Arabidopsis thaliana: one gene and its partners. The protein of the gene in region 1 interacts with the protein of each later gene in a pairwise test. Each region holds a gene or a part of one and is shown in the gene's direction. Other genes may lie near its edges. The genes, in order: SK4, KAI2, ZTL and IBR5.

Region 1 (7,536 bases):
ATTTGACTCCCAAAATATCCGTAAGATGAAAATTAATCACATATAGATTTATATCTAACCATTTATCCTAATCATTTGGGTAAAATATAAACAGAGAGTAAAGTCAATGTTGGAGCAATTGACATATTTCCAACGACACATAGCGAGAGTAAAGAGGTTAGTAGGGGAAGAGAAGACGGATCAACTGTTAGCCAAGGGCTTATCCGTTGTGGTCGCAGGCAGCAACGATTTGGCTATTACATATTATGGTCATGGTGCTCAATTGCTCAAAGATGATATCCACTACTTTACTTCAAAGATGGCAAATTCCGCGGCAAGTTTTGTTATGGTACGTAACTCATCCATCTTTTTCTTTTAGAGAGTTCATATAGCTTCACTCCAAATAAAGTTAAAAGTTCATGCAATACGTTCAATGATTTCAAAACTATATATTATGATTTATTGTAAGGTAAGAAGACACTCCAAAACTATCATAATACCAAAAATTTGCATGTAATGTATTTAACATTAAAAAGTGACATTTGTCAAAGGTAGTAAAATTAACTTGTTAGAAGTTAGGACTTTAGTTTTGCTTCTTAAAAATAATCTTACTTTTGTTCAAAACAAAAAAAATCTTAGTAAAAAACATTATAGCTATTGATGTAACGAATTTAATTTTTAACAAAAGAGATCTAAGGTACTCAATAGAATAATAATGTAGATAACTAGATGTACATAAACTTGACAACCAACAATATTGAATTTGGTCATGATTAATGTTTTTTTCTTTTTGGGATAAAATGTGAAATTACTACCAAAAGGAATTATTGTTTTACAAAGGTTTTAAACTAAACTAAATTTGTTCATGATTATGTTTAATATATGGTATCCATACATACATAAATTACAATTTCCTTACAAAGATTTTCTTTACTGGACTAACGTAAATAAATTAATAACAATAACCTATCTATATGGATACACTTGAACAGCAATTATACGAATATGGAGCAAGACAAATAGCAGTTCTAGGAACACCACCACTTGGCTGCGTACCAATACTAAGAACTCTAAAAGGAGGTCTTCGTAGAGAGTGTGCTCAAGATATAAACTATGCTTCTCAGCTTTTCAACGTCAAACTCTCCAACATTTTGGACCAATTGGCAAAAAACCTACCAAATTCCAATCTCATTTACATTGACATATACTCTGCTTTCAGTCACATCTTAGAAAATTCAGCAGATTATGGTAATATTAGAACGTGAATATTTAATTCTTATAAGTACTAAACTATACAAGCTCATGTATATATAACTTGAGTTGAGAATTAATGCAGGGTTTGAAGAAATAAAGAGAGGTTGTTGTGGAACTGGATTTGTGGAAGCTGGTCCACTTTGCAATCGATTCACAACATTTGTGTGCTCCAATGTATCTGCTTACATGTTTTGGGATAGTCTCCATCCTACCCAAAGATTCTATAAAATCTTAACCAAAATACTTTTTGAGAAATACATCCACAATTTAAATTGAGTAGTGTGATCAAATGACTCACATTGTATGCTTTTATTTTTCTTAAAGCTTGTGCAGTTGTTATAAATTGTACAAAATTATTGTAAGTCACTATATTGATTACCAATTGATTTTAAGAGAAACTTTTATCACTCTTCACATGCTTTCAAAGATCAAATCCATATCAATCAGTTCATTTGATCGACAGCTATTCTGTTTATGTAATGATTATCTTTTTCTTTTTAGGTCATGATGATGTAATAATATTATAGCTCTCTGAAGTAAAGTAATCAACTAGATAACATGAAATATAACCAAATTATATGATTTAATCTGCACATTGTTGTGGGGGTAAATCAGTCAAATAATTGAATAAGACTGAGTGGTAAGACTTGATTTGCTGGATTGGCTAAATATATATTATCAGTCCAGTGATACAGGGAAGAGTGTTGTTCTTTAACCACAAAAACAAACAAGTTTCATACCATTATTCAAGGGACTCGATGAACTCTCTCAACCCTTCTTCACCTTTGTATAAAGTATGACGATAAAGTAAACAAATTCTTTAAAAAAAAAGAAAAACTAAATTGAAACTAAAATTCGAAACAAAAAAAAATACTAACAAAATAAAACCTAAAATTTATTTGAGATGGAAAATGCAAACATCAAAGTTCTAGTAGTATTATTGTCTATATGGATTTCATGTGTTCAAGCTCAAACTGGAACATTTTCAGCAGTTCTTGCATTTGGAGATTCGATTCTCGATACTGGTAACAACAATTTGCTCATGACAGTATCAAGAGGCAATTTTTTGCCATATGGACGCGATTTTCCTCATCGTATTCCTACAGGAAGATTCGGGAATGGAAGAGTTCTATCAGATTTAGTTGGTACTAATTGTTCTCTATACAACATATATATATAAGACCAATTTTCTCTTTCACATTCTTTAACCTAATGAGTAATCAAATAGTTCGAGAATCATTCTATAATGAAAATGTACATGGTATATATGTATGTAGCCAGCGGTTTAGGGGTAAAAGATCTTTTACCTGCTTTCCGGAGCCCATTTCTTAAAAATAGTGAACTCGCTACCGGCGTTTGTTTTGCATCCGGTGGTTCAGGGTTAGACAAATTCACTGCATCTATACAGGTAAATCTACTTGTTATGTACTTCTTACTTTCAATAAGATAAAGTAATATATGTTCTTACTCATTTACTATATGTGCAAACTATATAGGGGGTTATATGGGTACAAGATCAGGTGAGTGACTTTCAAAGATACTTAGAAAAGTTAAACCAACAAGTTGGAGATGCAGCTAAAGTCAAAGAGATTATAGCCAATGCTGTGATTCTAGTGTCTGCTGGTAATAACGATCTTGCCATCACATATTTTTCAACTCCGAAGAGACAAACGAGATACACTGTCCAAGCATACACTGATATGCTCATCGGTTGGAAAACTACCTTCATAAATGTATACAACACACATTTATTTATAACTTTTTTTCTTCATAATATTGTTCTACCTATAATGATTATTTTGTATGAATAACAGAGTCTATATGATCTAGGAGCTAGAAAATTTGCAATTCTTGGAACGTTACCGTTAGGGTGTTTGCCAGGGGCGAGACAAATTACCGGAAATTTGATATGTCTTCCGAATGTAAACTATGGTGCTAGAGTTTATAATGACAAAGTAGCTAACTTGGTCAATCAGTACAACCAAAGGCTTCCCAATGGCAAATTCGTCTACATCGATATGTATAACTCACTTCTTGAGGTCATCAATAATCCTAGCCAATACGGTAAAACATTGAGTAACACACGCAAATTTTGAATATATATGGTAGAAAAAACAAGGGTGCTAATTTCTACATTGTAATACATTTCAGGGTTTACGACGGCAAAACCATGTTGTTGCTCGGTGATGACTCCGATTCCGTGTTTAAGATCTGGTAGTCACGTGTTCTGGGACTTTGCCCATCCTTCTGAAAAAGCCTATAAAACTGTTCTACCTTAGATCCTCAGTACCATCCAAAGCAACCTCGCCTAGTCACTAATTTTCTCTTTCTTTTTTATATTTAGACATGAGAACCATGAACCTTGGTTTGAATATGATTAGTTCCTCGATCGACGATGAGCCGCTTGTAGGTCTCTATTGTTAAGCTTGATTTATGTGTTCTCATCAATTAATCAGAATCAGTGATAATTTCATTTGCAATAATTTTGGTGCTTCTTAGTTTACCAAACCAGAAAAGTTATGTGTTTGGAAAAGAAGAAAAAAATACTAGAAGAAGATAAAAGATTTCCATCCAACACAAATACAAAGATCAACAAATGAGAGAAATACAACACAAATAAATATGTTATTAATTTTGGTTTGTTTAGTGTAACGCAATATTTTTCCCAAAAATTGTGGTGTTTGTTACCTACTTTTTACATTTTCCTTGATATTCACTACAAAATACCCAAATAATAATTCATAATTTCACATAGATTTTTACATACAAACGTGGAGGTTTTCTTTGATTAAAACATAAAAACCCTAGTCAATGATTTTTGCACACGTAGATAAACTGTATTTTCTGAAATCAGATGTAAATCTGAAAAAGTAAATATTATTAACGGAATACAGCTAAGGTGAAGTTTGTGGAAAAGTAAAAATATTTACTTTATTTAAAACAACATAAATTTTCCATTTTTTAAAAACTTAAATTTCCAATATTTGTTTTACTTTTTACTGTTCTCCTATTAGTAAAAGGAGTAGATTAACTTAAAAGCAATAAGCCGGCAAAAAAAAAAAAACTTAAAAGCAATAAACCGACTTGAATACCAATTAAGAAATTGGCTATAAATAAGGCTCCAACTTCCCAAACCTTGACACCATCACAACAATCAATCGCAGCGCCGATTCTCCTTCAAAAACTTTTCCTAAGTCGTCACTTTTTACGATGGCAGAAACGAAGAAGATGATCATCCTTAAGAGCTCCGACGGTGAATCCTTCGAGATCGAGGAAGCCGTCGCTGTTAAGTCCCAGACGATTAAGCACATGATTGAGGACGACTGTGCCGATAACGGAATTCCACTTCCCAATGTCACCGGAGCCATCCTCGCCAAGGTTATTGAGTATTGCAAGAAGCACGTTGAAGCCGCTGCTGAAGCTGGTGGAGACAAGGATTTCTATGGTTCCGCTGAGAACGACGAGCTTAAGAATTGGGACAGCGAATTCGTCAAAGTCGATCAGCCTACTCTCTTCGATCTCATCTTGGTTAGTAAAGTCGCTTTCATTGTTTAGGTTTGATGTTGTTAGAATTAGGGTTTTTAATTTGGGGATTTAGGTTTGATTTTGCAGGATTCTGTTAGGGTTTTAGTGTGTTGAATGTCGTTTTGATTTGACTAATCGTTTTGGTTCTTTGGTTTGTACAGGCTGCGAACTATTTGAACATCGGTGGACTTCTTGACCTTACGTGCAAGGCCGTGGCTGATCAGATGAGAGGCAAAACTCCAGAGCAGATGCGTGCACACTTCAACATCAAGAACGATTACACACCTGAGGAAGAGGCGGAGGTTCGCAATGAGAACAAGTGGGCGTTCGAGTGATTGGATCGGATCTGAAGGGTGTTTAGGAATCTCTAGTCTTTCTATTTAGATGTGTTTAGCTTTCAAGATTTCGGATTGTTTTTTTTTTCTTTCTTTTTCTCTTCGATTGGAGTTGTCCTTGTCGATGAAAACCTAATGCTTTGTTCTACTAACAACATCTATTGGTTTTTATGAGAAATATTTGAGAGAAAGTGTTGGTCTTGCTTAATCTTTTTGCTCTTTATACATGAATGTGTTCTCTTTAGATTATCGTTAACGTTCGCTATCGTTGTCGTCTTTGCTGGTTACAACGAATGGACTTCTCACATTGTACATTCCGTTAGACCATGTTATAGATCCAAACGCATCGTCCTTGAGTATTGTTGTAGTAGATGAAAAGATCACTTGGTAGCTGAGTTTATCTCCTATCTTCCTGAAGTGTAGCCTTCTTGGTATAACTCTGACTAGTAATCCTTCTGGTGCATCGATACTCACAGTGTAGACTGTATCTTCATCTCCAATGAGGCGTGATGCTACATTTGTCACTGTTCTGCTTACCCTTCTGCTTTCTTTTCCATTGAAGTTAGAAATCGAGATTGATGGGTAGTTGATGTTAGATATGTCTCCCCTGTTGCTTTGTTCAGGACAAGCAAAACCTTGTGGTATGCGGTTTGATATCTTTTTGATCTGATCAGATGTAAATCCATAGTAGCCGAGGAAGTTTAGGTAGTCCATGTGATTGGTTTCATAAATCAGTCCTGGTGATGAAGGTCCAAATATAGTAACCTGCCCAGCACCAAAGTCATAAGGTGTGGCCTTTTCTCCTGTTTCTGTAGTTATATGGGAACCTGTGTTGGTCATTTGCACGGCTGCAGATACAGTTGACTTGGGTTAACTCTAGCTGATCAATCATCCGTAACTGGTATCTACTTGATTTTGATTTCTCACCTGTTGTCATGATGGCAGATCTGATTGCTGCAGGACTCCATGAAGGGTATCTGGATTTGAGACGAGCAGCAATCCCGGAGACATGGGGACATGACATTGAAGTCCCTGATTCAATGTTGAAGAGTGGCGGTGGCTTGCCTTCTGGTGCTGCATTTCTGTCACCGACTAACCACGATGCTAGTATGTTGACCCCTGGTGCTGCAATATCAGGCTGTAACAGGTTTATCAATATTTTGTTTTTGAAGTTTCTGTGAATACTGTTGAGATCATGTTTATGATGAATATTAGGGCTTATACCTTGAGGATGCTTCTGGTAAGCAAGTAAGGACCTCTTGATGAGAAGGATGGTATGGATGGAGCTAACATGTGTCCTGTTCGTGATCTTGTAGGCATGATTGTTGCAATTGGTTCTCTACAATATGGATTATGATATATTAGTTCTGTTTTTTTTTTTTTTTTGGGTAAAAATATTATTATTAGTTCTGTTTGAAAGCAATGTCTTGTGAAATGAGACATCTTAAACCTTGTTGAATTTATGTAGGACATGATTTGTATGCCGTCCTCTGGTTTTATTATTGTCACTAGAAAGGAGGGATCAATAAAAGACAGATCCATTGACTCGTCATCAACAAGTACCATACCGATACCTCCAAGTCTCTTAACCTCGTCGCTTTTCCACTGGATCACCTGGTTATCAAGATCACTGTCACACACAACAATCTTTCCCTTAACAATGGTTTGGTCTAGTGTATCAGGTGCGCAGTTCCTGAAGGTTTGCAGTTGTGTTGTCTTGTTAGTATAGGTATAGCAAAGTTACTCTATAATTTTACGAGGCAACTATTACCTAGCAGCTTCCTCATTAGCATCAATCTTCTTGGCTGATCGTGCGTGTATAAGTGGGTAAGCCTGTGTTTTATCGATATTGGCAATATTTATTCCAAAACCCTGCAAAAGAAATTCTTTAAGATGTTATGTGAATGGAGATTTGTCCGTTGATTGGCTTTTCCTTCTTACCTCGATTAATCTGTTTTCATCTCCTCCCAGAAGAATGTTGGACTCAAAGCCACGGTCAATAGTGCTGGCAGCAACAGTGATCATCCATGGAGCAGCATTAAACACACTTTGACTCGATGGGCCAGAATTTCCTACAGAGCAAACAACAGTGATCCCTCTTTCCACGGCATGAAATGACCCGATGGAAAGCGGATCTTCAAGTAAATTGTCTGGCCATAAGCCCATTGATATGGATATAACATCAACCCCATCTGCGATTGCATCATCAAATGCAGCTAGTATGCTCGAGCCACGACATCCCAGGAGTGAGCACGCTCTGTACATAGCTATTCTTGAACTTGGTGAACCTCCTCTCATGATTCCACTTGCCAGGCCATAGTAGGACGCATTTGCTATTATTTGCCCTGCTGCTATTGATGCCACATGTGTCCCGTGCCCCAAAAAGTCTCGTGGTGTCTCATAATCGGGGTCTAAGAAGAATGACGAATTGTAATACCTTGCT
Region 2 (8,180 bases), on another chromosome or scaffold:
AAAGGGACTGTGCAAAGCTGTTGGCGTATCAGCAATGGAAGCAACAAGAAGAAGGGAGTGAGAGCAGTACTAAGGGAGCTTTACGAAAGAAATACTCCAAGGACGAACGCTTCGCTGTGGCTTTGATCCCTCCGGCCAAAGCTTTGTTGACCGGAACTGAATCTGCTTAGGAGTTAGGACCCTTTAAGAAGACGAAGAAGCTGAAGAACCAAGCCTAGTTTCATTTTCCTTCTGAAAATCAAGTCTAGTTTCATTAGATAATGGTATTTTGAACAAGTCTAATGAGTCGCTTTGAAACCTAGTCCTTTAGCATGATTCATTCCCAAACACTGCATATCTTGTAAGAAGTCAGTTTCTTCCGAGAAGTTTAATTTCCTTAGATATAATATTCTGTGGTTTAACTTCTTTAGTACACATGATTCATTCCCCAACACAGAATTTCTCTTCTTTTTTTTGATCAAACACCCCAGCACAGTATATGTTTCACCATTTCTTGTGTTCCTTCTGGTCCCGTCCATTCTGGGTTTTAAAACCACCTTCTGGTCTGCAAGATCCCCTTAAACAACTAAGCACTCCCATCTTTGGTGAGCATTTTGTTAGCCACAACCTCATAAGTCTAAATGGAAGTGCTAGCATCCATGCGGAAATTGTAAATCCAATCATCTTTGGATCTTCATCCGGAAAGGGAGAAGGTTTACCATATTAAGTTCCAAGGCCCTTTCTTCTAACCAATTCTTTACACCAATCCAATGTTTTAGATAACCGTGCCTCGAGGATCTCCAATATTGACCGTTTCCTTCTCTTTTCATCTTCAAGATCAAGAGTACGATATGCTAGTGTAAGCAAGTAGATACCTGGGTGCAGTCTCCTGGAGAATACAAAAAGTCATATATAAGTTAGATTACTTCACAAACAACAACTAATACAGAGATGTAACCAGACTTTATTGACTGAGGAAAAATGTGGTCAACGCAGATACAAGGATGCCAGTAGAATATCTTAAGCTGCTTTCTCTTCATATGTATAGTAAGCTTACCCATCCAGTGTACTCCCCTCTTCCAGGCCATCCCAGAATCTTTGTGCCAGGACCGTCCTGCTCTTTTTATCTTTCCCATAAGTTTCAACATACCATCCTCCGACATCATGCAAACCACAACGAGGCTCAAACAACCAAAACCTGTTTTCAAATCCATGCAATTATGGTTTCATGTCACTGAGGTAAGAAAGATGAAGGCTACGTTAGGGATCAGTATCATAAGTTCAGCATTCCAACAAAGATCACTGACTACTTCAGCATTTCAACAAAGGAAACTACAGAATTCTGTGTTCCAGATATCAATTTATTGAATTGCATTCTAACGAAGATGAAAACAGTGAAAAGGCTGTCCAATCTTGTTATTTTATCGAGTTAAAGGTGAGCCAGAACTAAAATAAAACAAAAATAATATTTGGCTTACTTGCTTGGTGGTAACTTCGCTCTACTGCATCTACATTCACAAATGGAAACCTTTTCCCCAATTTTGTACCAGTGCAAATGTCTCACCTGTAGAGTGTGGATGAAGAATTTTCATACATGCCTATTCCATCAAATAACTAGCGGATCATATCTCTATATGCATCACAGAACAATTCCCCGAAAAAGTACACGTTGTAATTTGCGAAAGGTACATAAAAAGAAATGCTAGATCATATAAGTCACAAACCAGAAATGTCCTATGTTTCATTATCACATGAGTCTTAGCACCATTCCCATCATAGACATAACATGAACCTTCATCTGGGATTGTCCCAAGACCACTTATAGTTCCAACAAGAAGTCTGGCACCACTTTCATTTCCCGGAGGCGATTCAGTGCCATGATTAGATCCTTCATCTGAATTGAGGAAAACGTGTATAAGATCGTGATCACCCTCAATTTGTTTCTTTTCATGATACCCTTTTGGGGGAACCCTAATGGCTGTAGCAACAACTCTTCCAGATACATGCAGCTGAATATCTTTATACGCATCAGAAACATGGTTTTTACTTCTTGAAGATTGTATATGAGATATCTGAAGACCAATCCTTTCAGCAGACATCATGTCATTGTTGCCTTTCTCAACTGCTTGACCAAGGTCCGAATCCATAAACGACGACAAAGCCAATTTCTTTGAGCAAGCAGAAGAAAGCTCAAGGAAGTTATCAACCAAGGAAACCATACCAAAAAGATCCCGTCCTGATACCAAATGCAAAACCTCTCGTGTATCATACACAGACCTTTCCTCAGCTTCAAAACAATCAGGAAGAAGCTCAACAGATTCAACATCAGGCCCAAAGTAGGCCGCTCGTATAGCTGAATAAAAATCTTCTTCAAGTTCATCTAAGTAACCAGTACCATTTGCTACTCTCTTCTCCAATACTATATCATGTATTGCTTCTCTATACCACTTTAACCATTCAACTACTTCCATCTCTTGACTCAATGTCAATCCTGTTTTATACCTGTGAATCATATAACCTTGTCCCGAGTGCTTCTTCATTACCATTCTCCGAGATAGCAAATATCTATCATAGTGTGCTCTCTTTTCAGAATCTGATAGAATCTGTATCATCACCACAAATCATTCATCAGACACTTCTAAAGCTATAACTCTATCACAAAAGCTTGAAAAGCTTGAAATTTTCGATTTTGAAACTAATCATAAGAGTGAAGAGTGAAGCTTTCTTCATTGTACCTCATAAGCAGCGAGAATCTGAACGAATCGTCTCGAATTTGATGGATCTTTCTTGGATTCGATCAGATCAGGATGAGTCTCCTTGGCGAGTCTGCGAAATGATGCTTTGATCTCTGCGATTGAGCTGGTTTCGGAGACATTCAAGATATCGTAAGCGTTCTCCACCGGAAACTCGTTCCGATTGGACTCAGCCTCGCCGCTCAGCAACCGAGTTCTTCCTTGACTCGGGTTAAAGAGAATTCGCGACGGTTCGAAACCGTAATTCAGTTGAACCGGAACTAATCTACTAAAACGCCGGCGTATCAACCCGGCGAGAATCGTCATTTCACGACCAGTATGGTTTACTCAGGTGGGAACGGAGACCGGAAGTGGAAAGAGGATAACGGCACGCCGATGACACGTGGGTCTCTCGATTTCACGCCACGTCATCACGAGTTCAGACTTTATTGGTCAACAGTAAAAACGGTCTTAGGAAAGAGAGAACATGAAGCCATATTACACTAAATGGGCCTTGAATTTTAATGGGCCAGGATCCTCTCACAGATATTTTTGACTCTTAAAATGATGAGGAAGTGGATGTGAATACGTGGTCGTATACTCACCATGGCATTCCATGAATAATTAATGTCTTCTAACTTCTAAATGATCGAAAAGTACTGACAAGTTAAAGTCAAGCAGAAAAAAACAAATATTATGAGGTTTTTAGATGCTATATTCATTGCAAGTTGTATACATGCGAAATTTAACTAGTGTTGTTAAAATAATAATTATATCAGCTTTTGACTATTTGCTGCCACTCTTTGAATGATTGAAACTAATTTTCTTTCGCATTAATGCATTGTTGAAATTCATGCACAAAATTAAAAATAATTGGTTCATGTATTTGTAACCCAATGTAACAATTTTATTGTTGAACAGAAGTCAGTAACTCCACGTCATGTACTCCATTAAATGTTCCAAAATATTTTGGGCTTGATTCCAAAAAACAAATTATCACGAATAGCGATGTTTGACAATCCAACAAACATGGTTCCATTCACCTTTTTTTGCCACCTGTAAATCGCGATATTTTAAATAATTTATTTCCTCTTCCACAGATACGAATTTTTTTATAAAGAATAATACGTAACACTCTAAAACAACACAAATATCATAATTTCTCCACGAACTGACTAAGAGAGGTACCAAGAAGAAAACCAGAGAAGAATCTTCTTTAGAGAGATGGGTGTGGTAGAAGAAGCTCACAACGTGAAGGTGATTGGTTCAGGAGAAGCCACGATCGTGTTAGGTCACGGGTTCGGCACGGACCAGTCAGTATGGAAACACTTGGTTCCACATCTGGTCGACGATTACCGCGTCGTCCTCTACGACAACATGGGAGCCGGTACGACCAACCCTGACTATTTCGACTTCGATCGTTACTCAAATCTCGAAGGCTACTCTTTCGATTTGATTGCAATCTTGGAAGATCTCAAGATTGAGTCTTGTATCTTTGTTGGCCACTCTGTTTCTGCCATGATTGGTGTCTTGGCTTCTCTTAACCGTCCTGATCTCTTCTCCAAAATCGTCATGATCTCTGCTTCTCCGAGGTATAACTTTTTCACAAGTTGTACATAGAAATATGTTTTGCTTTTTATCTCATCCTGACATAGTTTAGACAAAAGGGCTTCTCTGTTCCTTCTCTTGTCTGATTTCATAAAAACTATTAAACATTACAATTTAAATAAAAAAAAATCATCTTAAGTCCTTAAATTTACACAATTATCTATTATTTCGAAATATTTATTTCTCATTCTGACATAATTTCGACAAAGTGCCTCTTTGTTTATCCTCTTGTCTGAATTATCCTATTTCTCAAAATCAGTGAAGCATTTCATTATATATTTCAATAAAAATCCGTAAATTATGAACAAAAAATCATGAAATACCCATTTGTTTATTTGTTTTTTTTTATTTGGTTTTACTGAGGTGTTACTTACACTTTTTTTAAAAAAAATTGTTGAAACGGTGCTCACACAGTATATTATATATTTTAATTTTCTTCTGACAAAAGAAACATATATAATCAAATTATATTGTTTTGGTACGTTTATAGATACGTAAACGATGTTGATTACCAAGGTGGATTCGAACAAGAAGACTTAAACCAACTATTCGAAGCCATCCGAAGCAACTACAAAGCGTGGTGCTTAGGTTTCGCTCCACTCGCCGTCGGTGGCGACATGGACTCCATCGCCGTTCAAGAATTCAGCAGAACACTCTTCAATATGCGTCCCGACATAGCTCTCTCCGTCGGCCAGACCATTTTCCAAAGTGACATGAGACAGATCTTACCTTTTGTCACTGTTCCGTGTCACATTCTCCAAAGTGTTAAGGACTTAGCTGTACCAGTCGTTGTCTCCGAGTATCTTCACGCCAATCTTGGCTGTGAATCCGTCGTCGAGGTTATTCCTTCTGATGGTCATCTTCCTCAGCTTAGCTCACCAGATTCTGTTATTCCTGTCATCCTCCGTCACATTCGTAATGACATTGCTATGTGATTGTAAGAGATTTAATTAGTTAATTATTAAACGATGTAAGAAAAGTTGAAAAAAAATATCTGATGTGATATGTCTGTCTAGTCTATTGAGAACATTATTTCGTTGTCGTTTGGTTCTGATTCGTTTATCTTGAGTATCTTGATCTTTGTTGTTCTTATCTTGTTTAACGAAAAGTCTCTGTCTTTTGTCCACAGCTTTGCTCAGAGCTCATTATTGCTTGATGTAATAGTGATGTTCGTAATTGATGGTCCATAGTGAATTATTGCAACTTTGCAAGAGTGCTTGTGCTATACTGTGTGAAGAGTAATTAACATGTGATACTAGGAATTAGCATTGAGTTTGCATTTATGGATGGGTAATCCAAACCATAAAACATACATATTGTGATGGTTTTGAAATTTGTTTGTTTGTGAACAAAAATTAGCCAAGTTTTAAACAAAGTAAAATGAAAATTTAGGGTTTTGAATTAGGATGGAGTTAAGTCATATTTTGTTAGGTTTGTTTGCTTATGAAATTATGGATTTGTTTGATGTTATTATAGGGATGCGGTGCAAAAGATATTGTTTTCTATATTATCATTTATCACTAATAACTTTCAAATTTTATTGACGCGCCTGCTCAGATTTTATTCGATTTGTTGTTTATGAAATTAGTTATAGATTGGTAAGTAAATAGCTTTAAAAAATTAGTGATACAAAACAAAATGGTAAATATTGTATTGCTTCTTACTAGTCAATACTATGATTAAACTTCCATTTTATAATTCACTTTATATAAAACTTCTATTTATTTTCTTAAAATTATTTTATTATTGAAATTTAAATATCATTTGGTACAATATTATTTCTTCATCACTAGTCAAATACTATGATTAGCCTACCCAAAAAAAAAGTCAAATACTATGATTAAACTTCCATTTTTTTAAAATTCATTGCAGGTCATACAATTTAAATGTTTACATAGTCATGAAAGAATTGAGAACATATATATACTTCAAATTTGTTCTCCAATACAGTCACACACCTAACTTCAATTTGCTTAGAATTTCTTTGGCAAGACGATTAACAGAGCTAGCCCATTGTAAAAGGGTAATAAATAATAAGTGGGCTAGGCCCATATATACACAACAAAAAGTCACGTGACAAGAAACTTCATACGTGTGCGACTCTTGCCCCAAAATTTGATTAGCACCACTTATTGAGAAGCAGCAGCAGCACCACAAGCACCACCACCAGTATCACATTCACATTCACCATCATCGTCTCTTCGCTCTTATCTCTCCGTTACTTTTTTATTTACTATCTCTCTCTTCCCCGTTACTTTTTTTTCTTCCCCGTTTCGTTCTCCGTCAAAGTCTTCTCTCTTTACCATTTTCTCCACTGTACTAATTTCCCTTTTTACCCCTAAACCCATCGTTCCCGTGACACGACGGCCACGAAGAAGAGGGATAAAATTGAGAAAGATTAAATAGGCGATTGATTTCTCCATCGGAGACACCACCGCTCAAAAAATGGCGACGGCGACGGCGACATCGGAACGATTCGAGTTAGCCAAGCACTGCAGTTCACGGAACTGGTCTAAAGCGATCCGAGTTCTCGATTCGCTCCTTGCTAAGGAGTCTTCAATTTTGGATATATGGTTTGGTTTCGAGATCTTTGTTCTCTCATTCAATTTCTCCGGATCGGTATCAATGATTTTTCTCCCGTTAATCTCAGTATTTTTTTTTGAATTGGGAATTTGGTTTCAGCAATAGAGCGTTTTGTTATAATCAATTGGAGCTTCACAAGCATGTGATTAAGGACTGTGACAAGGCACTTCTGCTTGAACCTTTTGCCATTCAAGCTTTTATTCTCAAAGGTTAGTTCACTTCCAAGCTTTGACTTGAGTGCTTCATAGTTTCTCTGGGAATTGAGTTTGATTCTCGGGATAGCTTCAGAACTAGAATTAGGGGTTTAGATAATGCTATAGTGCCTGCTAGTTATGACGATATAATGGTTGCTTAAGAATATCTGTTAAGTTATATATCTTATCGGGGATGGAATTTTTTATGGTTACCGGATCATGGTTTACTTTGATTGGTATACTGCATGTGAACTCAAGTGTATCAGCTTTTCCATCTAGGACGCGCTCTTTTGGCTTTGGGGAGAAAACAGGAAGCTGTTCTTGTTTTGGAGCAAGGGTATAAAAGTGCGTTGCAGCAGACAGCAGATGTGAAGCAGTTACTTGAATTAGAAGAACTCTTAAAAGATGCAAGACGAGAAATTGATGGGATTTTAAAAAGTCATGCCACCGAGTCTCCGCAAGAGACCCCTGCCTATCATAGTGAGAAGTCTGATGAAAAAAGTGACAAGCTGGACAACCATGAATCAGGAGCAAGTAGCAATGGGAACTCACATGAGTCATCTAGCGAATTGGGCGAGCAATCAAAGATAGTAAGCTTTTCAAAAGTTGCATCCAAGGCTAGCAAGCAATCTGATGGTAATTCCGACTTATGTAACGGATCAGTGTACAAGGAAAAAGAGAATGGAAAGTGTGGCAGCCAAATCAATGGTTATTATGAATCATGTAAACCTTGTAATGGTTCTGATTTGCATGATAATTTAGCTGAAAGTTCCGATCGGTTCGGGGAGCTATCGATTAATGGAAACAAGATAAGTATTAAGTCTAGCAAAATGAGCCATAAAGCTGAGGCACGTTGCGGAATTAGTGATGAATCCAGGAAAAATAAGAAGTACACCATAGCAAGAATATCGGGAACCCATTCCATAAGTGTGGATTTTCGACTTTCTAGAGGCATTGCACAGGTATAGCAATACACAGAAAAAAAGGAAAAGAAAAGAGCTATAAGGTATAGCTTCCAAATTTTTGATGACTGAGCTTCTGTTTTGTCAACAGGTGAATGAAGGAAACTATACGAAAGCTATTT
Region 3 (9,193 bases), on another chromosome or scaffold:
TGCCTTCGATGCATCTCATGTTCTCCTGGTCCCACGATCCTACCTCAATTTTAGATCACACAAACCCATCCCAATTGCTTCATAAAGGTTGTTAGTTTTAGTAAACACACTCAAAAGTGTTGAAATTATAATATTACATATTTTGCTCAAAAAGAGCTAAGGCTTTTTAAATGTACAAACAAATTCTCTTTTGTTATATATTTCTAGATTTGTCTACTTTAAACGTATGATGTGTTTAACACTTCTTTCAACAATATACGTGTATGAATAAACATGTTTTCGACATTCCACTTATGTCAATATCAACACATAATTTTATGGCTAAGCAGTAACCACCAGCTGCTGTGTAAAATCACACTTTAAAAAAGTTTCTTTAGCCTACATCTCTACGATCATGATGCATTGGCAATAACAAGATGACAACAAATTTTACAAAACAATTCTCATACCATGTGGCTTAAGAGAAAAGGCCAGCGAATTTATTCGAACCCAACATATATAGTGAAGATGTCTTTTTCAATCTCTTTTTTTAACAAGTATACTTTTTTTTTTTGGTAAATTTCTTTTAGTGAATTTACTTTCATCTTGAATCATTCTTTTTATTTTCAATTCAGTTTTGTTGATAATAGATTTTCATGAACGAACAAGGTTCTAAGAGATAATAATAATAAAGGGGGAAACAAAACACATGATAATAAGAATCTAATAAACAAGAGAAAAAAGAGAGGTGATGAATAAATGTAGAAGTCGAATCATACAAGAGGTGCTTGTTGGAAGGTCGTTGGACCAACGCTTATTGTGATATTCATGTTCGTATTCTCTATGTAGGTTTTTCTTTATATCTTCCCAGCATATACGTAGTTATTTAAGTTTCTTAGAAAATTACTATACATTGAATATCTGAAACAATTAATCATGATATTATGGAATTTTTTTTCTTTCAAAATTTGTATAAAGAAAAAGGAATTTTATAGTGGGGGCATTTTAGCATCTCGTCGAAGATATGAATGAATAGAGAATTTTGCAAAGTGTAAAGAAAACAACCGACCAAACCCACTTGTTCTCTCACGTCCTTTTTATGTGTTAAATTGTCATACACAAAAAAAATATTTACAATTATAATTTTTCTAAAGTCTTTAATGTCAAAATTATATGATCTATTTATATCAGTAATACAAATGTAAATCGCTATATTTTATATTTTTGTTAAAAACTAAATACCATAATTTAAAAGAAATATTTTCTTTTTCTTTTTATTTGCGAAGATATTGTTTAGTCGTATGGCATTGTATTAGTTACTTACTTAGTAGTTTTACAGAACGAGGTGAAGAATGTCGGAAAAAAGAAAGAGGTGACGAAGAATTTTGACCAATTTGCTACTTTGTAAGGGAAATATAATACAAAAAAATTGTATTTAGCATCATTACAAACAATTTCTCCATTTTGTTTTAACTTTTACTATCAATTTTATTATTTTTATACGAAACTTATAATTAATAACACGAGGTAAGCCTGTTTTGTTAAATTGAGTATGTCAATTCATTTCATGAGATAATAACCTTCAAATAAAGTTCATAAGATAGTTGCCCCATATCGGTAACTTAGGCTTATAAAACAGTCTTATTATTGGTGATATAAAACAGTACTTAACTACTTATATATAAGTACTTACAACTTATTCTTATTATTGTTGATATAAAACACTAAAGTTGGGTTAAATCTTAATTCCAATTCAGCTGTTTGATGTTGGTTTAAAAGTCTGTTTGCACCTATGATTCTATGATATACCGAACCGATTCGATTAACCAGTAGTTACGAGAAGTTATTTGTTTCAACTAACTATCTATTGATTTGATGTAACTAGTTTGGTCCTCTGCGTATAAAAGGAACATTACAGAAGAGATTAAATGATAGGCAATTGATAATTGAGACGGTTCAAGAAAAGATTTAGCAACCAACAACCTTAACAAATTTTCATTTACGTAACTATAATTATAGATCTTGCTATTTTTCCATTTTATGGCGTCTTCTTATTACGAAACTCATACTATTCAGTCACATAATCTCATTTACTGGACTATAATGGGCTTTATTGTAATGGGCTTTATTGTAAGACATGAGCCCACAAATTTGGAAAGTAATAAGCTTCAGCTCAGCTAAAGAGAGTCTAAAAACCAAAGGGAAAAATGTCATTAAAATCCCCAACTTATTGAAAAAGTTGATTTAAATCCTCAACTTCCAACGAAACGAAATAAATATCAAACTTTTGTTGATTTTCCAAATAAATACCAAATTTTGGTTGACTTTCCAAATAAATATCAAACTTTTGTTCGAGTAGCCATATTAAGTATGACATTAACAGACCCTGTTATTAGAGTCCATTTTTTGTTAACAGACTCGTTAATTGAAAACGACAATATTCCCTATAACAATAAAACAACGTCGTTATGTCATAAATGCTCAATTAAATCCCAATTTCAAATCATATGAAGATTTAGGGTTAGAATTTTGCTTGATTTGGAGATTTAAGATTGGATTTGGGAATTTAATTCGGTCGTTATAATAAAACGAGGTCGCTTTCTTGTTATAGGAAACAATAACGTTTTAAATTAACGGATCTGTTAACAGAAAATTAACTCCGTGAACGCAATATGTTAATCTACTTAATATTATACCTAATATGACCATATATACGAAAGTTTGGTATTTATTTGGAAAGTCAACAAAAATTTGATATTTATTTCGTTTAGTTGGAAGTTGATAATTTAAATCAACTTTTTCAATAAGTTGGAGATTTTAATGACATTTTTCCCAAAAATCAAGGGGAGTTTTATGGTTTTATCTACTTGACCCGACAGAGAAATCCGGACCCGGATAAAATCCGACCCGTTCGAATGAACTCATACGGCCGAGATTTTTCCACCAAACTCGACGGTTACCACTCGTTTCTTTGTCCACCATCTTCTCTCTCTCTCTCTCTCAACCCCCGAAAATCTCCTTTTCCCAAAATTTTCCGATTATCTCACGCCGGATTGTTTTTCAATCGCCGTCTTCATAATCTCCGGCGACTGAAATCAGTCTGGTAACTATTTGAATTTTCATGGAGTGGGACAGTGGTTCCGATCTAAGCGCCGATGATGCTTCGTCACTGGCGGATGATGAAGAGGGAGGTCTTTTTCCCGGAGGTGGACCAATTCCATATCCCGTTGGGAATTTGCTTCACACGGCGCCTTGTGGATTCGTTGTTACTGATGCCGTTGAGCCGGACCAACCTATTATATATGTCAACACCGTCTTCGAAATGGTTACAGGGTATCGTGCTGAGGAAGTTCTCGGAGGAAATTGGTTAGTTGTTTTTTTGTTATCTTTGTGATTAGTGTTCTAATTGATGCGAGGAATTTCTATTTTTGGTTATTGGCTCACTTTACCAAATTTTGGCTACTTGGTGGAGTTTGATTAAGGTCCGTTTAGTTTGAGGATAGGTGAGGAATGTTTGTGATGATGGTAATCTGAAGGACACTCTATTGATCACTAGATTTAGTATGGATGGATACTTTGGTGGAGAGAAAACAAAGATATGTCTATTGTTAGATAATCATTAGAGTCTCTGCCAAATGGCAGAGAAGACTCAGTGGAGTCTCTGTGTGTGCCTAAGTATTCTCTGCCTTCAGATGTTTATTCAGTGATTGTAGTTTTCATATTAATCGAGCTCTCATGGCTGTTTTTGAGCTGTTTCAGCTGCTCCGCATGTTAAGGAAACTTGAAAGTGTATATAGATGCCGAGATAAAGCGAGCTATCCCTGTGTAGTTTCTCGGGGTCGTAGCGAACACAATAAATTCTTTACAATGTTGATGTGCAGTGAACCAGTGAAAAGGCTAAGTCCAATGCGTTTAGTTGTGTGTTAGTTTTCCATGAGAGAAGTGCTAGTAGCTTCCTTTATTAATAAGCTTTGATCTTACAGGAGGAGCTGATCAGTTCAAATAGTTGTTATTCTTGAACAGAATGAAAATCTGGTTAGGTTATAATTATGCTTGTTTGGTGTATTTGTTTTTTTTTTCAGTCTCTACATGCACGGCCAAATATTTTGTCTATTGCTTTTCCGCATCAGTAAGTTGGAGATAAATTTTGTTTTTGGTCTTATATTGTTTCTTAATTAATTTCTCGGATTCTGCAGCCGCTTCTTGCAATGTAGAGGACCGTTTGCTAAAAGAAGGCATCCATTAGTTGACTCTATGGTTGTTTCCGAGATAAGAAAATGTATTGATGAGGGCATTGAATTTCAAGGCGAGTTGTTGAACTTTAGGAAAGATGGATCTCCGTTGATGAATAGATTGCGGTTGACTCCTATTTATGGAGACGATGATACTATTACCCATATAATTGGAATCCAGTTCTTTATCGAGACAGACATTGACCTTGGACCTGTTCTTGGATCTTCAACAAAAGAAAAGTCAATTGATGGGATATACTCAGCTTTAGCTGCTGGGGAGCGGAATGTTTCCCGAGGAATGTGTGGGTTATTCCAGCTGAGTGACGAGGTTGTGTCTATGAAGATATTGTCACGCCTGACACCAAGAGACGTTGCATCTGTTAGCTCTGTGTGCCGCAGGCTATATGTGCTGACAAAGAATGAGGATCTTTGGCGAAGGGTTTGTCAGAATGCATGGGGAAGTGAAACAACACGGGTATTAGAGACTGTTCCTGGTGCTAAAAGACTCGGTTGGGGCCGCTTGGCTAGAGAACTGACCACCCTTGAAGCTGCAGCTTGGAGAAAACTTTCGGTTGGAGGTTCTGTTGAGCCTTCTCGCTGTAATTTTAGTGCTTGTGCTGTCGGGAACAGAGTTGTTCTGTTTGGAGGAGAAGGTGTGAATATGCAGCCTATGAATGATACCTTTGTTTTAGATCTGAATTCTGATTACCCTGAATGGCAACATGTCAAAGTGAGCTCCCCTCCTCCAGGACGCTGGGGCCACACGCTCACTTGTGTAAATGGCTCCAATCTGGTTGTATTTGGTGGCTGTGGTCAGCAAGGTTTGCTGAACGATGTGTTTGTCTTGAATCTCGATGCTAAGCCGCCTACTTGGAGGGAAATTTCGGGTTTGGCTCCGCCTCTACCAAGATCATGGCACAGCTCATGCACCCTTGACGGAACCAAACTGATAGTCTCTGGAGGCTGTGCAGATTCCGGCGTTCTTCTAAGTGACACGTTCCTCCTCGACCTTTCAATAGAGAAACCAGTGTGGAGAGAGATTCCAGCTGCCTGGACTCCGCCTTCCCGGTTAGGCCACACACTATCGGTTTATGGAGGAAGAAAGATCTTGATGTTTGGTGGTCTTGCTAAGAGCGGGCCTTTGAAATTCCGTTCGAGTGATGTCTTCACAATGGATCTAAGCGAAGAGGAGCCTTGTTGGAGGTGTGTGACCGGTAGCGGAATGCCTGGAGCAGGAAACCCAGGAGGAGTAGCACCACCACCAAGGCTAGATCACGTTGCAGTTAACCTCCCTGGAGGCAGAATCTTGATATTTGGCGGCTCAGTGGCAGGGCTTCACTCAGCGTCTCAGCTTTATCTACTTGACCCAACGGAGGACAAACCGACTTGGAGAATACTAAACATTCCAGGAAGACCGCCTCGGTTTGCTTGGGGACATGGCACTTGTGTTGTGGGAGGAACACGAGCGATAGTGCTAGGTGGTCAGACCGGAGAAGAATGGATGCTAAGTGAGCTACACGAATTATCACTAGCGAGCTATCTCACGTAACCAAAGAGAGCCTATGTATGAAAGAGAACCCAGCCATAGAAGAAGATGAAAAAGGGTTCTCGGTTAGGATACTGGAGCTTTAGGGGAGAGCGACTCAGTGGTGGGACTTTGGTACTGCTCATATTTTTTAAGTCCTTCTTCTTCTTTCTTCCTCATTAGGAGGACTTTTAGTGCTTATATAATATATATAGTGAAAATGTCATCTCTCTCTTTCTCTCTGTAGTGCTTGTTTCTGTTGTTCTCTTTGAAGTTTGAGAAGTGCATTTGTGTTCATATTCTGTAAATTTTATTTATGATTACAAACTTTAATAAGATCCTTTCTCTTCTTATGCTATTGGACCACTATTTTCATTTCCAATTTCATACTTTTAGTTCGGAGACAAAATGAGATTATTATTATTTTTCCATTGAGTATGATGAATATAAGAAAATTGGAAAAATAGAGGATAAAACCCCAAATTTTCATTTTAATAGAAAAAATTGGGGAAGAAAATTTACAGTGTTGAAATTGGTTAAACCCTGACACTAGCACCTTCCTCAGTCGCATCACCACCATGTCAGAGCGCGACCGCCGCGAACGAGAGAGGGATAAGGACCGTGAACCAGACCGTGATAGACGCCGAGGTAGAGACGACCGTGACCGTGACCGTGATCGAGACCGGGAAAGAGATAGAGAGCGCGACCGTGACCGAGGGCTTAGAAACAAAAAATCCCGATCTCGTACTCCAGACCACCACGCTCGTGCTCGCCACGTGCGCTCTCCGGAGAGGTATCGCTCTCGTTCCCGCTCGATTGACCGTGACCGGGACCGGGACCGTCAACGACACCACAGGCGCAGGTCTCCTTCTCCAGATGCTCCGTCGCGAAAACGGCCTCGCCAGGGTTCAGTAGACGATGAGAAAGAAAGGAATCGCAAAAGAGTAGTGACTGATTCCGTTGACGAGAATGCGTCTACTATTACTAAGAAGAAGGATAAACAACCAAGTGATGCTGCTGATAATGGCGGAGGCGAAGATGAAGAAGGAATGGATGTGAATGAGATTGAGATGATGAAGATGTTAGGGATTCCTACTGGATTTGATTCCACAAAAGGCAAACCAGTTGCTGGTGCTGATGTTAGTGGTATTAGAGCTGTAACTAAGCGTCAGCCAAGACAGTACATGAACCGTCGCGGTGGATTTAACCGTCCTCTACCGGCCGAGCGTAATCGCTAGTCTTCTCAAGGTTAGGCTTTCCACTAAGCTTCCCAAGTTTTTGTTCTATCAATTGGAAGATAGGTTTAGCTCCTATGTGTAGTATGATTAAATTAGATAGGACTTAGTTCTTAGACTTGTTGGCTGCATTAGAAAATGAACTCATCAGCATCTTTTCAGATAATGGATTCTAAGTACTCATCAGGTTCAGCATTTTGCTTTCTCTATATTACTCACTTGTTTTGCTTCTCAATCTAGTTCACTGGTGGTTGTTTAGTTAGATCTATACCAGAGATCTTTGTTTCAGGTGATATCCTCACAAGCTCTATATACAGATAGTTCACTCGGTTAGTTTTGTTATCTGCATGAAGAACTATTTTAGTTAATCCAGAGGAAATGGAACCAGTCTTGTGTTTTTTAGTTTTCTTGCCTTGGCACATTTGAATCTGCATCTTACAAGATCAAGTTGTGCGAGTTACTGCGTAAAACCGATCATTCCACCTATGTGCTGGTATTTACCAATAGGTCTCAACTCTCAACAGCTGAATTTAGAATTTACTTGCCCTTGGATCATTTACTCTGATGAGATTAAGCAGTTTCGGTTTTTCTGATTATTAACTAGAATCTTTCGTGTCTCTGCATCCAGTTTTTGTTTTCGCATTGATCGATTTCTGCTCACCAACCTTTGAATATATCTTGCAGGTCCCTCTAACGCTGTCTTGAACACTAGTCAAAAAGATGAGGGCTAGAGCTGCATTTCCCAGATAGTAGTTACTAGTTACTCCAATTCTTCCCCAGACTCTGTTCTGATGTCTTATAGAGAACAAACTTGTACTCTCTGAATTTGGTTGGAAACAACTCGTGAGTTATTTCTTTTTCGAGATTTAAAAATGTTAATGTTTGTGTGTAATCTCCCGGCTCTAACTGTCAGACTATGGTTCATTTGAAATCAGGCTTATTCATTTTTGAGTTTTTCACTAAGCATCAGAAAGAAATTGGAAATGCGTACTTACATAATTTCATTCCAAAATTATCGTTATGGTTTACAATATCAAGCGAGTTAATAAATAGACCGATTTCAAAAGCTTTTAATGCCAAAGCTTGAGGCAGATCCCAGCAGGTACTACACCATTTGTCGATGATCTCTTACTCAGTATACTTTCTGAGAATGTATCCACAAGCTGTTGTCCCAAAGAAGACAGATCCTCCATAAACGTCTCAACAAAGATCTTCACAACTCTTACTTCTCGGTGAGTAGCTCTTAAGCTATACCATGTCAAGAACCTTTCCCTAAAACTCTTGTCTATATGTCCTTCTTCCTCTAAACATCTAATCGTCTTAACAATATGACCCAAGTCTTTATCTCCTACTCCATTTGCGGCATTATTGATCTCAGGTTTCTCGTTCAAGGATACTGTTCTTGATTTGAATCTTTTATTCCCTCCTTGCTTTCCTTTATAAATATCTCTCTTGCAGGGTGTTACAAGCAAGTCTCTTCCATCTATCTTGTTTGCTTTCCTCTTTACAAGCCTCTCTTCTTCAAGCTCAGATTCTACTTCTCCTGCACTACAGTGTTCAGTGTTGTCCTTGTCACCATTTCCTTTGCTGCAGCTTTTATTGACATTATTAGATTCATCTTCTGGTAAAGATGGATTACTACAAAGACCACTGCTTGAGTTTGTCAAAGGGCTTTGCTGGTCCCCAGCTTCATCTCCATCATCCTTCAACGTTGTGAACCGAAGCTCAGACTCATCTAAGTCACCTTCCTCGTTAAAGGAAACCACTCTGAGACAGAACTCGGTGTCGGGTTCAAGTCCTTGGATGGCAGACGTCGTCTCAGGTAGATAAACAACACAATTCCCCTGAGACGAGCATTCTTCGTCCTTCGACTTTCGACAAAACAACCTGAAACCTGTGATCTTGTTTTGTGTAGAAGAAGACGGCTCCTCGGAGTCTACTCTCACAGTGACTGATCTTGCTTGAATCTCTTCTACTCTCACGGTCATCTTGTCACCTAACAGGAACTAAAGTCAACATCTTCGGTTTTAAAACCAAAGTAATGTATGAACACACTAACCTTGTCCTGAAACAGATTCTGATGGTGAGACCACTTTGTCCAGAGCTTCCATTGCCTGAGAACACAGCTTCTGGACATGCACACCCGAAGAAAGTCTATTGACGATGCCTCGAGCCATCTTCATGGCCCAACCCGACAACGGACCCACATCACCTTCGAGCTT
Region 4 (8,132 bases), on another chromosome or scaffold:
CGACTCGGACCGTCCGGTCCGACTGGTTGATCGTGATCCGAACATTTTTCCGGTTTGGATAAAGTGCTAAAACCCGACAAGTTCAAAAACGAAAAAACCCCACAAAAACTCACCATTAACCCATGACCTGGTGAACCGGTTGAACCAGTCGGGTGTCGGTTTTAAAAAACTCTCTTCATTTTGAAATAAAATATAGGATTTTATACTTTATTTAATCATTTTTAAAAAAAATTTCAGTTGTTAAACTCATTTGATATTTTAAATTTCGACGAAGACTTCACAGTGCCGTCTTAAAAAATAAATCGAATGGTGAGTGAGACACCCGGTATTAATTGTGTGAATTCACAATATTTTATTAGTTTATTTTCGGCATTGGTAATCTCCTACTATATTTGTTACAGTATTAAACATTTAGTTGGATTTAAAAAGTTTAATCACATTATTATTGTTTGATATTATATATTATATATATATATATATTATTTTTTTTGGTGTAAATGATTTTACTTTTTATTAAACATAATCTGATTTTATATTTTATAAACATGATATGATTATTTTTGTTTTTAAATTTATAAAAATTCTAAAACTCTAAAATCTCTATTAAAAAAAAAAAAAAAAAATTGATTCGTGGTTCAACCTGGTTGACCCAATGACCCAGTAACCAAGAAGGTAGTCCGGTTCATTGTCCGGGTCGGGTTTAAAAACATTGGACTTCAAGGTAAATCTCTAATAGTTCTGATATATGTGACATTAATGGTTCTGATATATGTGACATTCAATTTTGAAGAAGAAAGTCTCTAAGGTTTGTGCTTTGACGGAAGAGTATGGAGCTTCAAAAAATTAACCTTCTAATCGGATTAGATCTCAAGATCTAAAAATTCAATAGAGATATGGAAGTTTAAGAAAGCGCATGAAGATCTATTAAAGCATGGTATTGTGGAAAAGATTATAACAAAAAGAACTGAATCATTTATTCTCAGTAGAAATCAAAAGAGATTTGGTTGCTTATTTGAGAATCGTTAATTTTTCCACATGATTACCAGGTCAAGAAAGAATCATTCGACTGTTCTCTCTTTGCCGGCGAATATTCCAATCCGGCGATAGACAAAACAGAGATGACGAGTTGGACGCGTGTAAACAAGTCAATGAAATTCATTTGTACGGCACCACGTTTAGAGATGACAGAGTGTGTTGCTTTGCCTAAGAGTTTTCTTGTTGGGCTTGGTTTTCATTTTTAGGCCTTGTTATAAATAATGGCCCATGTTTGTTTTGGTTTACTAGTGTCCGGTTTTTTTGGCTCTATTAATAATAATCTATGTTGCATGGGAACTCTTCCCGTAGTGCGTTTCTCGTTTTCGAAACGTTTCGGAAACGAAATTAGACGATTAATATTGGTATAATGGGCGTTCAATGTGGAATTAGGCGAATTTGTTGATTCGTGAATTGATTCACTGCAAATAAGCATCAAAATCAATCGATTTTGAACACCTAACATGACATATTTGCCTCTTTGTGCAGCTAGTCTTGTTGTCTCAGGAATATATCATCCACAAACATTAAAAAACAAGCGAATCTCTGAAATAATTGTAAGTCATGTCCAAGTATTTGAAAGTTTTGTAGATTTTTGGTGTTTTTATACTATAGATCTTCTAGTTTGTTTATTGTATTAGTTGTTGCTTTCTTTAGGGTTGGTATATAAATGGTAGAGATATACTCTGTTTGTGGAGAGTGTGAACAAAATGATAAGTTTTAGTGGGTTTTCTTGTAGACACAAACAAAGGTGGATCCCTTTGTGAGGTAGATGAGAATATCTCATTCAAGGGCTTAGTTGAGAGTGTCATTGAAGATTTCAGATTTGATCCGGTGAGCGACGAAGTCGTCGGGTTTTTCGAAGGCAAAGCTGTTGGATTTGGAAGAAATGAGATTAGATATTGTGTATTTTCTATATTTTATTTTAATTAATTTTTAGAGGATTAAAATTTTTGTGTGCTATTTGTACAAGTTTTAAAAGAATGTGTCATTTTTGCAATAATAAACCTTTTTAGTGTCATTTATGTCAATCTCCTATATTTTAACACTTATAGCGAATTATAAATTTACAAATTGTTACAAATAAGTGAATTATTTTTATGGTGGATATAAATATAAATAGTAGATTATTTTTAAACTTGTAAAGTGATCAAAATACTAAATAGTAAAGAGACAAAAGAGGAGAAAAATGTTTTATTACTTCTCTTGTAATTGAAATAATGAATGTCATTTACAACGATCGAAATCGTTTATGTAGACGTAAAAAAGTTAATTACTATGCATACATAATGACAATGAATTCTACATAATTTGCGTAACATTTATTATATATATATATGTACATATATTTTTGACGTTGCGAGAAGTCACATTTATTAAATTTTGTAAAATAAATAATTTAATTTCAGTTTCCCTTATCAAATACTGTTCTCGTATTTAATAAAGTTTAAATAACTTTTTACAAACTGTTCAGACCTGGTGAATATAGTGTCTTCTCCAACCGAATGGACGACTTTCTCAGAGTATTTGGAGGAATTACGGAACAATAAGAAAGAATTCACAAGTTTTTCTTCATCTTTAATTTTTGGTAGTGTAAATATTATAGCGGATTCTTTGACAAGAAAAATCCGTATCGAACCGCATCATATTACCTATGTAAACAACATTTCTTAGGAATGACTCTTTTAAGCTAAATTATTAGCGGTCGACAACAAAAATAAAAGAAATTTAAATAACTTTATTATTTAAACTTTTACTTTACCCTTTAAAACCAAGTTAACATAATAATAAGTATGAAATTAGCATAAAACAATATCCCTAACAGAATTAGCAAAATCCAATCATTAAATGGACTATATATGGAAACCTGCCTCTACAGTTGTTCTTGAGATCAAAAACATCCTCTGTTGTCACCTCGATCTCTTATCAAGAGCTCAACAGATCATCCGCCCATGTCCATCTCTCCTTGTCACTTGGTTTGGCGTTTTTCAGTAGAAGATTCAGTTGGTTTCTCTTCTGGACCTGGAGCCTTGTTTCGGTTTTTGGCATTTTGCCATCTATTTGGACATGCGGCCTAATTTCGGTTTTTATTGTGTATTTGGGCCTGTAACTTTATTTAAACGTTTTGTCATGTATATTGATTTAATATTATTGGAAATTTAAAATTAAATAAAAAAATGGACTATATACTTAAATAAAAAAAAAAAATTCTTTTTTATTTTTACTGTAAATCCTGAACAAAAAAAAAGAAAAGTAAATCTGCAATAAATGGCTCAGTTAACAATTTTGACTCAGTTAGAGATCCTCTCTCTCCCGTATCTATTACAGAACCTGTTAAACTGAGAGACTGTTTAAAGAAGATTTACATAAATCTAAACTCCACGTGGCACGTATCTATCCGAATCAGTATTAATCCCATCGAAGAAGAAAACAATTCTTCATACAAAAAAAACTCTCTTCTCAAGTCTCTCCTTCTTCTCCGTCCTTCCCAATTCTTCCGTTCAAACAAATTTCTCCAAACCCAAACCCTAATTTCCTCCGTCTGTGAAATCAAGGGTTTTCTCTGATCTGGGTTTTGATCAGAAATCAGATCTAGGTTTAATTTTCGAAATCAAATTATGAGGAAGAGAGAAAGAGAGAACCCTTGTTCGATTTGTGGGCATTACCATAAGTACGAGGAAGGAGAAGTATGTGGAGTCTGTGGTCACTGTATGCCTGTTTCTTCCGATACGGTGGCGCCGCAACAAGTCCACGTCAGTGCTTTTCCGTCGGAGATTCTCCCTGAGTTTCTTTACCTCGGTAGTTACGACAACGCTTCTCGCTCTGAGCTTCTTAAGACTCAAGGAATCTCTCGTGTTCTTAATGTGAGTTTCTTTGCTTTGATTTTGAATTCATGAATTGCTTTTGTTTTAAACATTGATGATGACCCTTAAGAAAAAGATAAGATCTTTGAATCTTTGAATCGGTTTGTTTAGTTAGGGTTTTGCCTTGTAGATGAATCTTTCTTATACTTATACGTTTTGTTGACTTATGGTTTCTGTTAAAGTTCCTGTTATGGTAATAGAGAGGAATGTGTTGTTTACTATTTGTTGGTATTGACTCTGTTTTTGTTACTCTGTTTCAGACGGTTCCTATGTGCCAGAATCTCTACAGGAATTCATTCACTTATCATGGTCTTGATAATGAAAAAGTTTTACAGTTTGATGATGCTATTAAGTTCTTAGGTATGTTGATTCTATCTCAAGTTTCTAGATTTCATCTTTATGATTTTTTCTTGACGGTCTTGCTTTGTGTAGACCAATGTGAGAAGGACAAGGCACGTGTTCTTGTGCATTGCATGTCTGGGAAAAGTAGGTGAGTACATTTATCATTCTCTTACTCTCATCCTAAACTTGCGGCTGCTTTCTTATGATTACCATTAATTATTTAGACTAATAGAGTGATATGTTTTGTGTTTCGATTACATGACAGATCACCAGCGGTTGTTGTAGCGTACTTGATGAAACGAAAAGGGTGGAGACTCGCTGAGAGTCATCAGTGGGTTAAACAACGGAGACCAAGCACTGACATAAGTCCAGGCAAGTACTTAGACTTTGGATTAGAAACTTACTTATTGTTCTTGAAACTGTTACTCATTGCTTTTTCTTTGTACACAGAGTTTTACCAACAACTGCAGGAGTTTGAGCAGGGGATATTCGGATCTGAGATGATGTCGGCGATGAATATTAATGATGCTCCAACGTTTGGGTTTGGTTTCCCTAAGATTGATAATCAAGCACAAGCTCCTGTGTTCAACAATGCTCCTACTTCTTCTATATTTTCATCTCCTGCTTCAAGTATCCCTCCTCAGGAGTTCACTTTTGGAGCAACTCCACCAAAGCCAACAACTGGTGGTGATATTGCAATGGATGGCTCTTAGAACCAGATAATCATATACTCTTGCAAGAATTTTCATCAACAAATATACTGTTGTGAGAATGTTTCTTTTTCTTTTTTGTACATGGAGATTGGTGCATTGCTTGAGAGAGTTTGGGGTTTGAGAACATGAGATTGGAAGCATCTTTGTCTGGTTTATTCCTCACTCTCCCACAATTCTGTATCGATCTTTACAGCGAAATATACTATTAAACCAGTTATGACAAGCCACACTAGTAGGATCTTATCTGTTTCTGCAAAGCAGATAAGCTTAGACATTCAATACTTTCACTTTATCCTTTTATGCTTTCGAAAGCCCTTTTTGACTGTTTGTCTTAGACTGCAAACCAAATAAGCTGAGACATTCTAATCTACATGGATCATTTCGCCTTTAACTGTAATTTACCATATGTTAGAACTCTTATGAAAAAAATTCAACCTTAGATTATAGCAAGTATCTCAGCGTACTCTAGTATCAAACAAAGGCATGTGACTCACGATAGTTTTTAACGCCTGGCATAACTAAGAATAGTCGAAGCTGCTAAAATGCTTGGCGTATATCGATGAGATTCCAAACCAGTGCAATGAATTGAGTTGCCCATTCTGCTTTCTGACGGATGCAAGAGCTGTATCAACTTCTCAGCACCAACAACTTGTCTTTCTCTCATCTTTTCATCCAAGAGTAGTCTCCTACAGTTTCAAACAACATCTCACGTCATCATCATGCCCATTTCTCAATTGCCAGATAACAAAATATAAAGTAAAAGTGGGTGAAAAGAAAAAGATATACTCTAGTATCGATGCGAGATTTGAAGGGTTACAAGCTTGAAACAAAGCTTCAGGAATGATTGGGGAGTCTAGGAGAATGTTTGGGAGAGAAATATAAGGTATCTTGGCTTTGTAACGGATTAATAGCTCTGTTAGAAAATGTGCTCGGTAAGCAACAAGGGAAGGTAGATGAGCAAGCTGCAACTCAACAGCAACTGTTCCTGAAGTGCATAATGCAGCCTGACTCGCCTGTTATTATGGAACACCGCAAAATGAGAGGAGTAAACAGATGAGACACTTAGAACGAGGTTTCAAAGACTTACGCCAAAGGCATCATATTTAAGCTGAGTGGATCCACTAGGGACTAGTATTGCTGGAACTGGCCACTCACTGAAGGATTCTCCAATGTAATGATCAACTTGATTATTGGATGCGACGTGGATAAGCGTTACTAGTTTTGGAAACGGATCTTTGAGTAGCTTCATTGCTTTGGAAAATATGGGTAGCATTCTTTCAACTTCTTGTAATCTGCTCCCCGGTAGAACCGAAATGACAGTGGAGTCTTGTTTCATGAAAAGTTATGCAATGCAGCAGAAGAACAATGAGATATCAATAAAAGTAGATATCCAATCTGTAGAAAAGTTAAATCATTTTGATAAACTTCACATTACCAGAAGGTATTGAGTGTTCGCTAAAACTCAAGCCTTCAAGTTTCAGTTCCTGAGGCTTGCACCTTCTCACCTGTGGCAGAAAAGAGCACCATTTCACTTAGAATTCTGACAGAGTGTCATAGAAACTGAGGTAATTCAAGAAGAAGAAGAAGAAAACGCATACAAGGTCGAACTCAGAAGCATCCTCAAGAACAGGATGTCCAACAAACGTTGCTTCAACCCCATGCTCCCTACAAACCCTTTCCTCGTTCGGAAGAATGCAGAAAAGATGATCAACGAATTCAGACAGACCTCCAAGTCTTGACTCTCCTCCTTTCCAAGCCCAGAACGACGGTGCGACATAGTGAAAATGCACAGAACAATTTTCCAACCGCTGCTGCTTGTATCTAGCTGCAAAGCCAAAAAGCATTCCTCCATTGTCCTACATGATATATATGACTTCATTCAGGAATGTTTGGCTTCAAAAAGCCATTTCTAAGGTTCCTATTTCTCTACTTTTTCAACTTCTACTACAGAAAACAAAATCAAGGACATCATCCTAGAGATTAGTGTCAAATTACGCAAAAACATGTTCCTACTGGAGAAGAAGCTTCCATACATAAATCTTGGTACTATTCAAGAAAACTGTGCTTTTCGAAAACCACAATGAAGCTTTGAATTTAGTATGTCTTAGTCGTTAAGCGACACTGTTTAGCAAGCATTCTATTCACTAAAGCTCAATGATTCTCTCGTACAAGTTTGATGAAACAAGTTTTGTGTTGTTTACCTCGTAACTCCTTAAGTAAACGGAAAGAGAAGCCCTTTGAATCAACAGTCACAACAACATGTGGCTTAAACTTAACCGCAGCATCAATAGTCTCCTTCAACTTCACCTAGTATCTCAAAAACTAGACTAGTCAATCAAAAGAATCTAGAGTAGCTTTATATCAAACCATTCAAAAGGTTACTCACACGGAATTTATACAAATGTGGCAAAAGCTCCCATACACCCATTACAGCCAAATCCTCCATTGGAAACAACGAATTCAATCCTTTCTTGCACATCAAGGATCTATCAATTTGTAAGAAGCAAAGATACAAATGTTCCAACTTTATGAAATTTTCAATTGAGAATCAAAACTTTTCATAAGAAACTTCTAAATTGGGGGAAACCCAAGTGCTTACCCTCCAACTCCATTGAAACGGATGGGTAAAGGAGAGAGCTTTTTAAGCGAGGACATAAGACGAGAACCGATGTTATCGCCGGAAACTTCGCCGGAGACGATGAAAACTCTGAGCTCCCCATCGATTGCAGCCTTGTCAATCACCGATTTAGCAGCTTGAAATGATGAGTATCTCTTAGTGAATGTTGAGAGAGGGAAACGAAGTTTGCTCTTTGTAATCTGAAACATCATTTCGGAGAAGAGAGAGAATCAAAAACTCTGAAAGAGTGAAAGTGACGTTGTTAAACAATGAACTGCGATGAAAGCAAGATTTCTCATGGGGACTTTAATGGGCCTCTTAAGCCCACTTCTTATCAGCATGTTATTGAGGCCCATCAGTCATAGTGATACTTGTTTAGGAGACAGTGATAGTTATAGACTTACAGTGAGTGATTGTAGATGTTGAATGGCCTATGTTTATTGTTTTTGGATCTAAAACTTATCAAGTAAGAGTTTTTTTCTTCTGTTAAATTAGTACTCCATCTGTTCTTTTTTGTTTGATTGTTTAGAAAAAAAAATTGTTTAAAAAAGATTATTTTTTAGG

The links.
Region 2: the proteins of SK4 (region 1) and KAI2 interact in binary tests that used the Arabidopsis thaliana proteins (3 or more experiments, as listed by UniProt).
Region 3: the proteins of SK4 (region 1) and ZTL interact in a two-hybrid assay, tested with the Arabidopsis thaliana proteins (3 studies listed by BioGRID).
Region 4: the proteins of SK4 (region 1) and IBR5 interact in binary tests that used the Arabidopsis thaliana proteins (3 or more experiments, as listed by UniProt).

What each region holds. Positions count from the first base shown.
Region 1 is NC_003070.9:6,981,987-6,989,522, forward strand, and holds SK4 (SKP1-like 4), read left to right. Parts: upstream 1-4,325; 5' UTR 4,326-4,443; coding exon 4,444-4,761; intron 4,762-4,919; coding exon 4,920-5,093; 3' UTR 5,094-5,345; downstream 5,346-7,536. Other genes in the region: AT1G20132 (GDSL-like Lipase/Acylhydrolase superfamily protein), read left to right, coding at 1-20, 95-328, 972-1,227, 1,316-1,509; AT1G20135 (GDSL-like Lipase/Acylhydrolase family protein), read left to right, coding at 2,138-2,378, 2,511-2,641, 2,730-2,966, 3,048-3,297, 3,385-3,512; AT1G20150 (Subtilisin-like serine endopeptidase family protein), read right to left, coding at 5,346-5,941, 6,021-6,231, 6,318-6,432, 6,544-6,786, 6,865-6,965, 7,035-7,536. UniProt on the Arabidopsis thaliana protein: Involved in ubiquitination and subsequent proteasomal degradation of target proteins. Together with CUL1, RBX1 and a F-box protein, it forms a SCF E3 ubiquitin ligase complex. The functional specificity of this complex depends on the type of F-box protein.
Region 2 is NC_003075.7:17,614,119-17,622,298, reverse strand, and holds KAI2 (alpha/beta-Hydrolases superfamily protein), read left to right. Parts: upstream 1-3,642; 5' UTR 3,643-3,935; coding exon 3,936-4,303; intron 4,304-4,809; coding exon 4,810-5,254; 3' UTR 5,255-5,640; downstream 5,641-8,180. Other genes in the region: CYCB1;1 (CYCLIN B1;1), read left to right, coding at 5-170; AT4G37483 (uncharacterized protein), read left to right, coding at 479-706; AT4G37480 (Chaperone DnaJ-domain superfamily protein), read right to left, coding at 703-868, 1,037-1,177, 1,458-1,543, 1,704-2,582, 2,715-3,038; SRFR1 (Tetratricopeptide repeat (TPR)-like superfamily protein), read left to right, coding at 6,765-6,892, 7,002-7,111, 7,376-8,058, 8,150-8,180.
Region 3 is NC_003076.8:23,238,497-23,247,689, forward strand, and holds ZTL (Galactose oxidase/kelch repeat superfamily protein), read left to right. Parts: upstream 1-2,930; 5' UTR 2,931-3,100; coding exon 3,101-3,345; intron 3,346-4,175; coding exon 4,176-5,719; coding exon of another isoform or gene 5,720-5,760; exon of another isoform or gene 5,761-5,827; coding exon 5,828-5,919; 3' UTR 5,920-6,094; downstream 6,095-9,193. Other genes in the region: AT5G57370 (U4/U6.U5 small nuclear ribonucleoprotein), read left to right, coding at 6,315-6,974; VIN3 (Fibronectin type III domain-containing protein), read right to left, coding at 8,042-8,967, 9,031-9,193. UniProt on the Arabidopsis thaliana protein: Component of an E3 ubiquitin ligase complex that plays a central role in blue light-dependent circadian cycles.
Region 4 is NC_003071.7:1,584,888-1,593,019, forward strand, and holds IBR5 (indole-3-butyric acid response 5), read left to right. Parts: upstream 1-3,305; 5' UTR 3,306-3,650; coding exon 3,651-3,896; intron 3,897-4,156; coding exon 4,157-4,256; intron 4,257-4,328; coding exon 4,329-4,386; intron 4,387-4,503; coding exon 4,504-4,610; intron 4,611-4,688; coding exon 4,689-4,951; 3' UTR 4,952-5,279; downstream 5,280-8,132. Other genes in the region: LpxB (transferases, transferring glycosyl groups), read right to left, coding at 5,454-5,637, 5,738-5,964, 6,039-6,277, 6,387-6,456, 6,550-6,776, 7,153-7,258, 7,338-7,437, 7,551-7,780. UniProt on the Arabidopsis thaliana protein: Required for the transduction of auxin and abscisic acid (ABA) signaling pathways. Dephosphorylates and inactivates the MAP kinase MPK12.